Linked DNA regions of Drosophila melanogaster. The protein of the gene in region 3 interacts with the protein of the main gene of each other region in a pairwise test. Each region holds a gene or a part of one and is shown on either strand. Other genes may lie near its edges.

Evidence for each region.
Region 1: the proteins of Klp59C (region 3) and CG6726 interact in a two-hybrid assay, tested with the Drosophila melanogaster proteins (one large-scale study listed by BioGRID).
Region 2: the proteins of Klp59C (region 3) and Mtap interact in a two-hybrid assay, tested with the Drosophila melanogaster proteins (one large-scale study listed by BioGRID).

What each region holds. Positions count from the first base shown.
Region 1 is NT_033777.3:23,090,066-23,095,730, reverse strand, and holds CG6726 (uncharacterized protein), read right to left. Parts: upstream 4,008-5,665; 5' UTR 3,975-4,007; intron 3,955-3,974; exon of another isoform or gene 3,869-3,954; 5' UTR 3,861-3,868; coding exon 3,770-3,860; intron 3,676-3,769; coding exon 3,184-3,675; intron 3,131-3,183; coding exon 2,713-3,130; intron 2,650-2,712; coding exon 2,445-2,649; 3' UTR 2,298-2,444; exon of another isoform or gene 2,272-2,297; intron 2,234-2,271; exon of another isoform or gene 2,231-2,233; 3' UTR 2,053-2,230; coding exon of another isoform or gene 1,956-2,052; intron 1,902-1,955; coding exon of another isoform or gene 1,410-1,901; intron 1,352-1,409; coding exon of another isoform or gene 937-1,351; intron 882-936; coding exon of another isoform or gene 677-881; 3' UTR 547-676; downstream 1-546. Other genes in the region: CG17110 (uncharacterized protein), read right to left, coding at 677-881, 937-1,351, 1,410-1,901, 1,956-2,052.
Region 2 is NT_033778.4:17,425,803-17,429,861, forward strand, and holds Mtap (methylthioadenosine phosphorylase), read left to right. Parts: upstream 1-1,992; 5' UTR 1,993-2,240; coding exon 2,241-2,291; intron 2,292-2,361; coding exon 2,362-3,141; intron 3,142-3,200; coding exon 3,201-3,239; coding exon of another isoform or gene 3,240-3,452; 3' UTR 3,453-3,513; downstream 3,514-4,059. Other genes in the region: CG6550 (uncharacterized protein), read right to left, coding at 1-569, 630-1,619; Bap55 (brahma associated protein 55kD), read right to left, coding at 3,623-3,858, 3,918-4,059. UniProt on the Drosophila melanogaster protein: Catalyzes the reversible phosphorylation of S-methyl-5'-thioadenosine (MTA) to adenine and 5-methylthioribose-1-phosphate. Involved in the breakdown of MTA, a major by-product of polyamine biosynthesis.
Region 3 is NT_033778.4:23,123,397-23,127,826, reverse strand, and holds Klp59C (Kinesin-like protein at 59C), read left to right. Parts: upstream 1-1,784; 5' UTR 1,785-1,919; coding exon 1,920-3,800; 3' UTR 3,801-3,904; downstream 3,905-4,430. UniProt on the Drosophila melanogaster protein: Required during anaphase to drive sister chromatid separation to actively depolymerize kinetochore microtubules at their kinetochore-associated plus ends, thereby contributing to chromatid mobility through a 'Pac-man' mechanism.

The DNA.
Region 1 (5,665 bases), on a different chromosome or scaffold from region 3:
TGTGGATATGTTTTCGCTGCCAGTCACCAAACTCGAATGTGCCGCAGTTGGCAAAAAATGAACTTATACAGAAATTTTTGTGTGTTGGGTGATTTTGGTTTTATGGCCTTGGCTTCGTATTATTATCAAATAATGAGTTCGTTATCAAACTCGGTTGTTATAGAAATGATAACAGCACATATTCTTGTACAAAATTCTACCAAAACAAATGTCTAATAGCAAACGGTAGCCAATTCGATAAAGTTCACATAACACCAATAAAACTCAACCACCGTCGTTTATGGTCTGCGAAAAAATGGGTTATTATAATTTGTATTTGGTTTGATAAGAAAATAGAATACATATTAATGTAATTATTGATAATTATGATGTATATATAAAATACAACCCCTTTACGTGAAGGTTACGTTAGTTTTTGAGAACGATATCAATAGTTGTGACGATTTATTGGATATTGAATGAGGGCAAAGTCCATGACAAAAACTCTCTTCTGAAACTCGTGTTATCAGTGTGTGATTTTCATTTGTTTAGAAACAGATATGATTTGTAGTAGTCACACCATTTAAACATTTAATTTTGGTCCTACACTCATCGAGCCAAAAACATTACTCATAAGCGATAAGACCAATTGTAGCATATTGATTTCCATTTATGAGTGGAACTTCGCTTGAACATTTTATGAATCAGCAATAGAGGGGATGAGCTTCCTGTACACCTGAATTCCGTGCAGATATGTGTCGGCCCGCAAATATTCATCATGATTGTGCAGCAGCACCGGGGTGTTGTTGATGGGTGAAAATCCCAGAGCGGGAATTCCCACTTGCCGGACGTAGAAGCTATCGGTGGCGCCGGGGAAAACTCGTGTATGGGTGATCAAACCTCTGGAAAATTTCAACAAATTATGAAGTGAAAACTACACAATCTTTGTTTACCTACAGTTCATCTAGTCCCTTTTTGAAGCCCAGCCAGTAGGGATTGGAGTCGTCTATCTTGGTCACCACCGAGGGGCACTTCAGCGTGAAATCCAGTTCCACTCCACCACCGACTTCGTTGCACCACTCGCGAATCTGATTCTCCATTGCATCGGCATTCTGGTTGATGGCTATGCGAATATCAAAAGTGGCTTCTAGTACGGGGGGAACCACATTGCTTTGGACGCCACCGTTGAGTTGGGTCAGGTTCAAAGTGGTCACATCACCGGACTGCAAGGAGGAGTCCTCGGCCAGTAGCTTGACCTGGGTTTCTCGGAACTTCATCAGCTTATCCATCACAAAGTGAAACTTTTCGCCAGCCGTGCTTTTGTGCAGCAGCGATCCATGACCTGAAGTGCCACTGAATTTAAATCGAAGTTCTGCAGGGGTATAAAATGAATCAGAATATATTGCTACTGATGCAAATGGAAGACTTACGCCACAATGTACGCTCGGCGTAAAATACAGGATAAGTGTCATCTTCACTGGCGATGCCCTCGTCCAGGCTAAAGCCCACATTCATGGCTTTGAAGTAATCACCCTTGACGAATTCAGCCATGCCCATGTGTCCGCCAGTTTCCTCGTCGGGCACAAAAGTCAAATATACGGTCCTTTTTGGCTGATAGCCACTGGCTTTGAGTGCACGGACCGCAGCCATGTACTGACATCCCACGGACTTCATGTCCTGGGCACCGCGTGCATAAATCCGGCCTTGGGCGTCTATGTGGGCACCAAACGGCTCATGGGTCCACTTTTCGGGAAACACGGGCACCACGTCCATGTGTGAGTTCAATATAATGGATTTCAGCTCGGGATGCTTGCCCAGCCACTTCATAATCACCACCGGTTTCGAAGGCACAACAGGATACACCACGTCCACGCGGAGATTAAGTTTGTTAGCCTGGCGTTTTAGGAACTCCACGCATGCAGCTGCAAGGGAAATAGGGATAACAAAATCCAAGGAGCGGAAAAACAAATCCTTACTGTAGTCCACGTCTGGATGCACCGAGGGAATGCGCAAATACTCCTGGAAAATGATTATTTCCTCGTCGTTCTTCCATTGTTCCGTGCAAGTGCACATTTTGAGTTGAATGCCCCGTGGTTCTAAAGGAACTGACTTGTAATCCACCGTGCTGTTTGGTTTGAAGTCTGAGTGTGGATTGACTTAATGGCATTATCAGTTGTTGACTTTAAGCTACTTGATTAGAAGAGCCCACAATTTGCGGATTTTCATCTTTGCGCTAAGAGCTTAATGTTATCTAGCAAAGCCATAATAGTAAACCATAAACTTATTCATTTTCATTTAAATTTCCTTTTTTTGCTCACCATTAATGGTATGGACTATGGACTGGCTTATTTATTCATACATTGTTTATTTAAATGGGTTTTTATAAGCCTGCTTGTTTAAAGTTATTACAATAAACATCGACAAGTAAGCATTAAATGCATTATTTCATAATTGAATTGAGTTCGCTAAGCATCAGCTACGGCAGGAATGAGCTTCTTGTAAACCTCAATGCCGTGCAAATAGGTATCGGCTTTCAGGAATTCATCGTGGTCGTGCAGCAGGATGGGGGTGTTGTTAATGGGCGAGAATCCTAGAGCTGGAATGCCTGCGTAGCGAATATAACGACTGTCCGTGGCGCCGGGGAAAACACGAACCCGTGTCTTGAGGCCACTGAAAGAAACAAGGAGAAAGGATATCAGAGCCATGCCTTTTGTCAGAGCTTCTCATCCTTACAGGTCATCGAGTGCTTTCTTAAAGGCCAGCCAGTAGGCATTCGACGAGTCAATCTTTGTTGGCTCCACAAAGGGGTTTTTCATCTCAAACTCCAGTTCAATGCCGCCGCCAGCCTCCTCGCACCAGTCGCGAATCTGCTTCTCAAAGGCAGGGATATCCACGGTGACGGCAATGCGGATATCAAATACAGCTTCCAGCAATGGGGGAACCACGTTGCTCTGGACTCCGCCCCTCAGTTGGGTGAGATTCACAGTGGTCACATCACCAATTTCGAGGGATGAGTCGTCAGCTAGTTTTTGCACTTGCGATTTGCGGAACTCCATCATTTTGCCTACCACATAGTTCAGCTTCTCGCCAGCAGTATTCGGGAGCAACAGTGATCCGTGACCAGCAGTTCCGCTGATCTTGAAACGAAGATCTGCAGGAAAACATGGCTAGCTTAAATTGTTTGTATGAGTCAATCCTACTCACGCCAAAGAGTCCGTTCAGCGTAGTACAGAGCGTAGGTTTCATCCGCACTAGAGATTCCCTCGTCGAAACTGAATCCCACATTGAGCTTCTTGAAGTAGTCGCTCTTTACCAGCTCCCGCATGCCCAGGTGGCCGCCAACCTCCTCGTCCGGAACATAAGTGAGATAGATCGTCCTCTTGGGTTGATAGCCACTGGCCTTGAGGGCACGCACAGCTCCCAGATATTGGGTGCCCACGCACTTCATGTCCTGCGATCCGCGCGCAAAGATGCGACCCTCTGCATCTAGATCCGCGCTGAATGGACCGTGTGTCCACTTCTCCTCAAAAACGGGCACTACATCCGTGTGCGAATTGAGAATGATGGAGGGCAGTTCCGGCTGGGAACCCTGCCATTTTAGCACCACCACGGGATTCTGCTCGTTCACCGGATAGATAACCTCCACGGGCAGGTCCAAGCTGGCAGCCTGGCGTTTCAAGAATTCCGTGCAAACGGCTATAAATAGCAGACACATTTTATGGCAAGGTCATAAAGATCAGGGTACTCTTATCGCAGCCTCATAAAGATATACATGCCCATTGGAACTCACTGTAATCCACATTTGGATGCACCGTTGGTATGCGAAGATATTCGCGAAAGATCTTAATCTCCTCGTTGTTCTCCCACTTGGCTGTACTCATTTTGCACTCTATAAAATGTAAATAATTAGCCGGCTGATAACAAATCAATTAAATTGTTTGCTGAAATCAGCTGATCGACACTTCACCACAGCGGAGAGCAGACACACAACACACCTTTCGCAACACTGGCTCGACGACGACTGTGCGATCGTGGAGAGAAGCGCGCGTTTAAATATCAGCGATAAGCGAGCGAAAGAGAGGGCATGATAATAAATCCGAGAAGGAACTAAACCTAATTTCTTATCATACGGTGCTGCCTATAAACTGTTTTATCTTACGCATTTGTTTACTTTTTAGATGGCTAATCTACTTTTCAGTACAAATGACTTGCAGTTAACAATTGCTTCCGTCATTAATAATATTCGTGTCTTCCCATTTCTATATGAGAAACTAATTTGATGAATTTAATATCCAGCACTCAAAAATTCAATTGATTACAAAAGAGACATCCCCTAATAGTAATTTCTATCTTGTACTGCATTATTTATAAATTAAACTGAATTTTGCAGCTCATAGCACAAGGAGTGGAACTCTATTTCTGTACCATCCCAATTGGTAGGGATTCCACTCCATGTATTGGTGAACATTCTTCCATCACTTTCCGGTACATATGAACCCACTTTAAGGCTCATTTACTTGGGATTCCCCCTGGCTGATGGATTTATTTGCCTTAAATGGAGGCGAAGGTGCTTCGCATTGCTTTGGGGGTAACAGGACTGCAGGATTGCTGGATTGATGGTGACCCCATTTGGCCCGCAGCCAAGATTTCCGATTACTGATGAATCGCATGCAATCGCATTCCAATTCCAGTTGATTTGTTAATCAAGATGCACTGCACACGTTCGCACCACACGCCCAGTGGGCTTCCGGGTAAACAAGTTGCCCCTCCTCGGGCCTTTCAGCCACTCGAATCCAATTCAAATTTCGCATATTAATAGTGTTCCTGCTGCACTTGCCGACTTTGCTGCACTGCGTCTGTTGTCCCAGTAGTGTGTCAAAAGTTAGTTTCGCATTTAGATTTCACGCTTGTTCCCATACAGAAAAAAAGGTGGTTGGGCCAAAAAAAATACACAAAACCAAAGCCCTCTGATTTGTGTCGCATACACACCCTGCTAGGCCAAAGTTGATATTGTTTTAGTGTGTGTACTCACAAAAAGTCATTAAAAGTTCATTAACAATGTTGCTGGGATTTTAATGGCGCACCAGCAGCAATAGCAGCAACTACAGGCTACACATGTCTGCATTTTAAATAACATCCAAGCCCCACATTCGTACAAACTCGTACTCTCCCCATTTACAGCGTCACATAAGTCAAATAAATACACAAGTTTCCTGCGCACAAACACTCGTTCAGCTGCACAATGGGCCAAAATGGCAAGTTTTTGGCATAATTCGAATGTAATGTCCCTAGAATAGAGTCTATAAGTCTGTACAGAGGCTAAAGTAGTTCATTCTTAGTCGAGTAAAACACGAATCTACTTATCTGATGCCAAATTATTCACTTTTCGCCCATGGTGGTGACTTGGGGGCGCGCCTGTTTGTTGTTTGCTGATGTTGCTGCTGAGCTGACATGTTGTCGCTGGGCAAATAAACTAAATGAAAATTTTGTATATTGTAACAATTATCCGGGCAACGCCGGAAACTGTTTGCGTTGAGCACCCAAAACCTGCAGAACTGCAGAGATGGAACCCCGAGGATATCGCCTAATCCGTTATGGGCGCATTACCTGGCCAAAAAAAGCAAAAAAAAAAAATAAAAGCGAGAGAACTGATATAATCCTCCTCTGCCATTTACCATTTACCATA
Region 2 (4,059 bases), 5.7 Mb from region 3:
TGCACTTGAACGTTTGGTAACTCCTGATTTTTTGCACACCTCGTCCAATCGCGTTCGTCGTCTAAAATTTCTCCCACCATGCTAAACTTGCTCGCACTGGTAATTCGCACATGGACACGAGTACCAAGAAGGTTATCCCGCATGGGCAGCAGTACTTGCTCGTAGCTCTTGTTGTGGCCCACGTAATGGAGCTTGTCGTGTGAAACTTCTGTGACCAAGACGGTGTATATTTCACCCACTCTGTCCGCATAGGGTTCATAGCTGTAGAAGAGATCCGTGAGACGTTTAGTTCGTTTCTTCACCAGGTTTGCGGGGATGCGATCCATCTTAGCAGCTGGTGTGCCCGGACGAGGGAAGAACTGATTGATGAACAGACTGGGAAAGCGATATTTGGCGCAAAGGGTCATCGTCTCCTCGAAATCGTCTTCTGTCTCTGTTGGGAAACCACAAATTATATCCGTGGCAATCGTGACACCGGGAACTCGTTCCCTTAAGAAATCCACAACGTGCTCAAAGTCCTGCCGACAGTACTCTCGTTTCATCTCGCCCAGCACAGAGTCACTACCACTCTATAAAAAGAAATAATTGACTATCGAAAAATATTTATATATATTACACTCGATCCTTACCTGTACAGGAACATGTAAAAAGGAGTAGACTCTCGGGTGCTGCAAGACGTTGGCCACTTCCTCGAGATGCTCCAGTATATACGGTGGATTGGTCATGCCTACACGCAACATGCAGTGCTCGGGGATCACTTCCACCAGTTGCCAGAGCAATTCCGGCAATGAGCTTCCAATATCTCGACCATAAGCTCCTGTATCCTCGGAAGTAAGCCAGATCTCGCAGCAGCCTTCAGCAAACGATTGGCGGGCGCGCTCTACAACCTCCTCCGGGGGATAGCTGGCCAAGTCACCGCGGGCGTGTTTAGTCTTGCAGTAGGTACATTGATTTAGGCATCCAGAGTTGATGGATATGATTTCTATTAATGGATTTTTGCGGACTTTGGGTAATGAGAGTGGTGCTCCAGCTACCCGCCGACCATGGACCTTCTTTTTGTTTTGCAACAGCTGGACACTGTGACCCTTGAGGGTCTCTTCAACGACCTCCACCACTCGGTCGATTTGCTGGACACCGATTACGGAAAGACCGTTCAGATAGTCCGATTTGGGAGCTCCCTGGGGAACGCAACCGGCAACCACGACGTGCTTGCCATTTCGCATTCCCGACTCAATCTCGTTGCGGAAAGTGTCCTCCGAAGGATTCTTAACCGTGCAGCTATTGAGCAGCCACAGATCCGCCTCCTCCTTTCCACTCAATCTATATCCGTAGGCAGCCAACTGCCCGGCCATGTACTCCGAGTCCGAATTGTTGTGGGCGCAGCCCCATGTTTTCACAAAAACTTTCTGGGTGCCGGGTATGACACTCTCGTGGATCGTGGGCTTCGGCTTTTCCTCCTCCTCTTGAGATTCAAGTCGAATTTGGGATCGTTTCTTGGCCCGAACCGTAACGGTTTTTTTGTTTTCGTAGCGCTCACGCGGCTTGACATCATCGGCGGATATCAGATCCTCTATATCATCCACATCGTTGCCTGGCAGATCCTGTCCAAGGTGGTACATTGTTTTTCCTTCTCCTTGTTTTAGATTCTATGCCAAAACACATGTGCCGCACTTCCAGCTGTTTACATTCAGATTTCTTCTTCTTCACTTCAGGCAGTGTTGTGAAGTGCATACGGGTAGGGTACCCGACTAACGGCTCGATAACAGGGTCGGCTGTCACATTTAGACACCCTACAAAATAAGCATACAAATTAAGTTTGTTATATAAATGATACAATAAATAATTTATTCCATGTTCCAATTTCCTATTTTCTTTATTCGGAACTGATATGGATATAAGTTGTAATAAATATAATTAGAAGGGCTTTGTTAGTTTAATTTTGATTGATTTGATTCTTTATCAAATGATTAGTTTTGTTCTAAAATGAATAATTATAAATATTAATTTGTCATAACTATTATTATAAGATTTAAAATCAAAATTTTGCAAACATAATTCAATTACCATAATTACACACCCACGACGACGTGCTGAGTGTCATTTCAATATGCCCGAGCTTTTGCGGCTTATGCACCCTACCGTGTAGACACACAGTTATCAGTACGCTATCAGCGGGAACATTCTACTCTGCTCCAGACTGCCGCAACAGCAGCTTGTAAAAGCACAATCCTCCGCTAGCCATGATTACGATTAAATGTAAAGACACCAATCTGGACCCGCTTCCGGTCAAGGTGAGTTCGTAGTCCGTCCAAAAATTAAGCACCCCATTTTGTTCAATGCCAAACTATAAATAACCCACAGATTGGTATTATTGGCGGTTCGGGGCTTGACGACCCAGATATCCTGGAACAGCGGCAGGAACGTGTGGTGGAGACGCCCTACGGAGAACCGTCTGATGCATTGATTGAAGGCGAGATCAATGGAGTACAGTGCGTACTCCTGGCGCGTCATGGACGCAAGCACGACATCATGCCCTCCAATGTTAACTACCGGGCCAACATCTGGGCTCTACGCGATGTGGGCTGCACCCACTTAATTGTCTCCACGGCATGTGGATCGTTGCGCGAGGAAATCAAGCCGGGCAACCTGGTTGTTCCACACGACTTTATCGACAGGACTACTAAACGCCTTCAGACCTTCTACGATGGCAAGGCACAAAGTCCACGTGGTGTTTGCCACCTGCCCATGTTTCCGGCATTCAGCGAACGCACCCGCAACATTCTGCTTCAGGCGGCCAAGGAGCTGGAGATTCCCGCCCACGATAAGGCCACCATTGTGACTATTGAGGGTCCGCGCTTCTCCTCTCGCTCGGAGAGCCACATGTTCCGTCAGTGGGGCGGGGACCTCATAAACATGACCACGTGTCCAGAAGTGGTGCTAGCCAAGGAGGCTGGCCTACTTTACGGGTCGGTGGCCATTGCCACGGACTACGACTGCTGGCGCATGGGTTGCGAGGGTGTCAACGTGCAGGATGTCCTCCGTACTTTTGCCGAGAACGTAATTAAGGTGAAGAAGATTCTGGTCAACGCTGTTGGTCGAATTGCCAAGGAGGACTGGTCGGAGGACATACTAAATGCCAAGGTGAGTGAGCCGAGATAAACATCATTTAAAACTAAGTTCATCATGTGTTCCGCCCATAGCAATGCGTTTGCAACAACACAATGTCTGGAGCCATGTGACGATTTATAAAACTTTGCCACGAAATAACAGAAGAGACGCTGATTCGCCGCAAGATTTATGTGCCACCGCTCTATCAACAGTTCCACAAAAAGCGAGGACCCAGAGTTCACTCCATATCCATTACGTACGAATTAGATCCGAAAGACAAAAGGCAGCCGGTGAAAACTCCATTGAAATGTGAAACTGTAACGTCCGCGTCAGCGTCGCAGTAAATATATACATATGTGTGTAACTAAAAACATTTCCGTAATCAAATGCAATCTATTCCTAAACAAACGCTCAGATGTCTTCTGAATAATGGGACACTTTTCACATTTCACATTTATATTATTACATAGAGTTGCGTCTTTAAAATTAAAATTGGAATTCGATTGCGCTGTCCTTACGGACACTTCCGCTCGACTTGGCTCTTGCCGGCCTCTTCGTACTCCTGCGACGATATCCACATCTGTTGGAAAGTACCTATGCTGGCTAGAATAGAGCCGCCAATCCAGGCTCCAAATCTTCGCTCCACGCTGCCATTGGCAGAAATCATTTTTAGGCGCGTATTTGAGGGGGCACGCAGCTGGAGATCGCGATTTAGGCGCTCCGGAAAGCCTTGCAGAAGGGTATTGCCACCTAAGAGCAAAATATTAAGGTATAAGTAATTAGTTTTAAAACCTAGGGAAAATTCATACCAGTAACGACAACTGAGCCGAAAAGTGACAGCCGCACATCCGCATCACACATGCCCACACTGGTGGACGCCAATTGGCCAGCTCCCAGCATTGCATTGTCAAAGAGACTCTCGGCTATCTTGAACCGCTCAGAGCCAAAGTC
Region 3 (4,430 bases):
GCCCAAAAAGGAGCCGAAAGCCAACTTTCCGAAGATAATATGGAACTTCATGAAGAAAGTTTGCAAAGCTTAGTTCCTAACGATTCATCAACACCCATCGACATCATGCAGAGCATCTCCAACTACGTGCCTCTTGCCGGACTCAAATTGGGACAACAAATTAATCTGTTCGTCCATAAGTCAATTTTAACATTGATATTTAATAAATGATGCATGCAATTCATTTAGTTTTCGGCTTTGCGATTTGTCGTTCGTTTTTTTTTTTTTTTTGTCAGGCATAATTAAATCAAAGCAGCAAAGGCGGTAATCAGCTGGCAGGGAGAGGGGTGTAGTGGTGTGATTGCATCCGGATTTTGTAAACGGATTAGTTTAAATGTCGAAATTGTCCAATTCGATTACATTAGCGGACAACATTTAATCCGCGCCGAATGACAATTATTGTTTATGATTGCATTGCGTGGATGTGTTCTTTATGCATTGCTCGCGTGAAACAATATGTAAATTATTTATTATTATTTAAAATGATTGAGGCTGATCGAGAGGCTGACGGGTTAGAGAAAAATGAGCAAAAGAAAAAATGCGCACAATATATCAAAAGATTATATCCATGAAATCATTTCTTCATTATGCATGCATTTATGATTGCGTTTCAGGAGGCCCAAAGAAATTTATGCAAGCCACATTACGCACATCCAGTCCAATGGCTTTTCAATTTATTTGGAATTAAATTTTTTTTTTTTTGTGTGTAAAACACGGCAAATGTTTTCCATTTCAATTGCTTTATTAGTTCATTTCAGATTTGCAGTTTACGCAAGCATATAGCAAATATTCAGCTTACGTGCTACCTGCGTACAGGTGCAAAATGCCGGCTAAAAATCAAAATGAAAATGGAAATACCCGAAACGAAATCAAACTGTCCGGCTCGTTCTGACTACGGTTAAACAAATATGCCTGGGGGTCCCGGCCAAACAGGACAAAAAGCTATCGAAATTTGCATACTCCTATCAGCTGGGGAGCAGGAGTGTCCAGAGTCCAGCCTGATCGCCCCTTCCATGTTGCACTTTCCAGTGGGTGGCGGGTGGTGGTCGGTCTGAGGTGGTACTGGTTTGGCGTTCGCCTTTGCCGATAATTACACGGTAAATTTGGCAAAATGTGACGGCAAATAGCAAACAAGACGCCACTGAAGACCCAAACAAGTTGCACGTATCTGTGGGCAATGTATCTGTGTATCTGCGCCTGCCTACACTAGAACACCCATACGTTTGGCGGCGAAAACACAGATACGACACACACAGATACACCTTTACACAGAGGCAATGGCGCAAGCACTTCAAAAAATAAATAACAATTTGGTACGTTACACACGTCTCGGCTTATGCAAACGTATCTGCAACTTGTTCCTCGCTCTATCTCTTTCCGTCTCTTTCGTCGAAAGAATGCTTCATTTCAGAACACCGCCCGCTTGGCAAATAGAATACACACAGGACATGCAGCACGGCTGACGAGAGAGGCTCTCGGAATGGTGTTGTTTGTTGATTCGGTTATTCCTGCTGCCTGTTGTTTGCCCTCAAATTGAACAAATAGCTAAAACAATTCCCGCCAGAACAGATATCACTAGAATGGCACGGGAAGACCAGAAATAGAGCGCTATAACTACCTGTTTCATTCACATGCACTTACCAGATGCATAAATCATCGAAATTGAGTATAATTTTGATATGATTTTTGAAAAATTTCTAGCATAGATGGCTAACGGAAAATCGAGCATTGCATTGACTGTCACTCCCGTTTTCTGCCCTAATCATAATACCAAATAAGAATTCGGTCTAAATAATATGATCGCTCAATTGGTAAAAATTAGCAGTTAACAAAATTTGTTGCAGAAATCGAAGGAAAGTCGCACTGACTGATTTGCTGCCATGGATAAGTTGTCGATCGAACAGAAGATTTTCATCCGTCGCTCGGACGGTAGAGTCCACTTGGCGGAGATTATCAAACTGGAGGGCGGTGACTCCAAGCTGATTACGGTGGAGTGGCCCGAAGGACATACGGTGCGTGGTAAGGAACTGCCCCTGGAGCTGGTGGTCCTGATGAATCCTCATATCTTCGACTCGCCCCGCTGCAGTGGCGGCAATGCGGCGTCAGCCAATCAAACTGCCTCCATATCGCCACGTTCAATGAAACAACGAATAGCGACTGGGAGCTTATCTCCTGTACTGGCCACTGCCCCGCCACGCCAGCAGACGGCGCCGCCAGTTCGAGAGGACGAGGTGGTGCACCAGGCTGAAAGAATGCGAAAAGAACGGGAACGGAGGCGAGAAGCACAAGCCAGGACTCGTCTAGATCGGGAGCAGGGGAAGAACGAAGATCCGGGAAATCCCAACTGGGAAGTAGCCAGAATGATACGACTGCAACGCGAGCAAATGGAGAGTCAGCGGGTGAGAAGTGGTACTACGAACGAACGAATCAATTGCCACCAAATTATGGTTTGTGTGAGGAAGAGACCACTGAGGCGCAAGGAGCTGGCTGACCGGGAACAGGATGTGGTCAGCATTCCGTCTAAGCACACATTGGTGGTCCACGAGCCCCGCAAGCATGTGAACCTGGTCAAGTTCCTGGAAAATCATAGCTTCCGTTTCGATTACGTCTTCGACGAGGAGTGCTCCAATGCCACGGTCTACGAATTCACAGCCCGACCCTTGATAAAGCACATTTTTGATGGCGGAATGGCCACGTGTTTCGCCTACGGACAAACTGGAAGCGGCAAGACCTATACGATGGGTGGTCAGTTCCCCGGAAGGCATCAGAGCTCAATGGATGGCATCTATGCAATGGCCGCTAAGGACGTGTTCTCCACTCTAAAGACGGTTCCCTATAACAAGCTTAATCTGAAAGTTTACTGCAGCTTCTTCGAGATCTACGGCACCCGGGTGTTCGATCTCCTGATGCCTGGCAAGCCACAACTGCGTGTCTTGGAGGATAGAAACCAGCAGGTGCAAGTGGTGGGCCTCACCCAGAATCCAGTACAGAACACCGCCGAAGTTCTGGACCTACTCGAGTTGGGCAATAGTGTCCGAACCTCGGGTCACACCTCTGCCAATTCCAAGTCCTCCCGATCGCATGCTGTGTTCCAAATCGTGCTGAGATCCGCGGCGGGCGAGAAGCTACACGGGAAATTCTCGCTTATAGATCTGGCCGGGAATGAAAGAGGAGCGGACAACAGCTCGGCGGATCGACAGACGCGCCTGGAAGGATCCGAGATCAATAAATCGCTGCTGGTCCTCAAGGAATGCATTCGCGCTCTGGGGCGCCAGTCGAGTCATTTGCCATTCCGTGGCTCCAAGCTGACCCAAGTCCTGCGGGACTCCTTCATCGGAGGTAAGAAGGTGAAAACCTGCATGATAGCCATGATCTCGCCATGCTTGCATTCGGTGGAGCATACCTTGAACACGCTGCGTTATGCGGATCGGGTGAAGGAACTAAGTGTGGAGTCGATCCCATCTAAACGGATGCCCGATGCCAACCTTGGAAGCACTTCCATGTCAGATATTGTTTGCCAGTCGTCCACCCAGCGACTCTTTCCATGTGCCTCCTCCACATCGATGCCAGGTGGTGGCAACCAAGCGCAGCAACACACCAACACCGCGAACGACTTGAACAGATCCCAGAAACCAACATCTAAGCCCACTTATCCCACATCCGGTCAGCAGCTGGTCCAGAGGAAGGGAAGCTCCCAACGGGAGGCCTCCATGATGCTGACCAAATCCCTGGCACAATTCCGAGGGCGCAACTTTCCCTAAAACTCAGAAATCAAACGCCTTATCGACTTCTACAGCAAGTTATTCAAATTAAAAAGATTGTCAAAATTATTTGTTTACTTTATTTAAATAAATGTAGATGAATGAAATGGGCTTACCTATATATTACAAAATATACTTTGTTGGCTCTGCCTAGAAATCTAATAATGGTATCTTTCTTTTTTTGATGGACATAATTTACATTAACTCAATTCACTTATCATCACCCTGAAAAGTAAGTAAAACGAGCCAAATTGTGTATTTTTATATAAATTAAGTAAAACCTAGCAACGCAGCTCTATAGTAAGAATTTCTTCGTTTGAATTTGGCCCAGATAAATCGCTGACGATTGAGGACGCACTTGTGTAATTCGGCATCTTAAAGTTGTCACCAGCTCCTTTCCATTCTGGCCCAGTTCATTTGTGTGTCGTCAACCTGCCCTGCTTCCCTGGCTTATGCCGTGGCCCACTTTCGTGTCCTTCAACCAGCACACGTAGCAGTGGGCTCAGTGTGCGACTACATTTTCCTAGGCTGAACCCAAACTAAGCGCAAATATTTTCCGCATAGTTGCGCATTAGGCCAAAAACTTACTTTGGTTCCCTACACTTTTTCTGTGGCTTTTTTTCGTGCTTT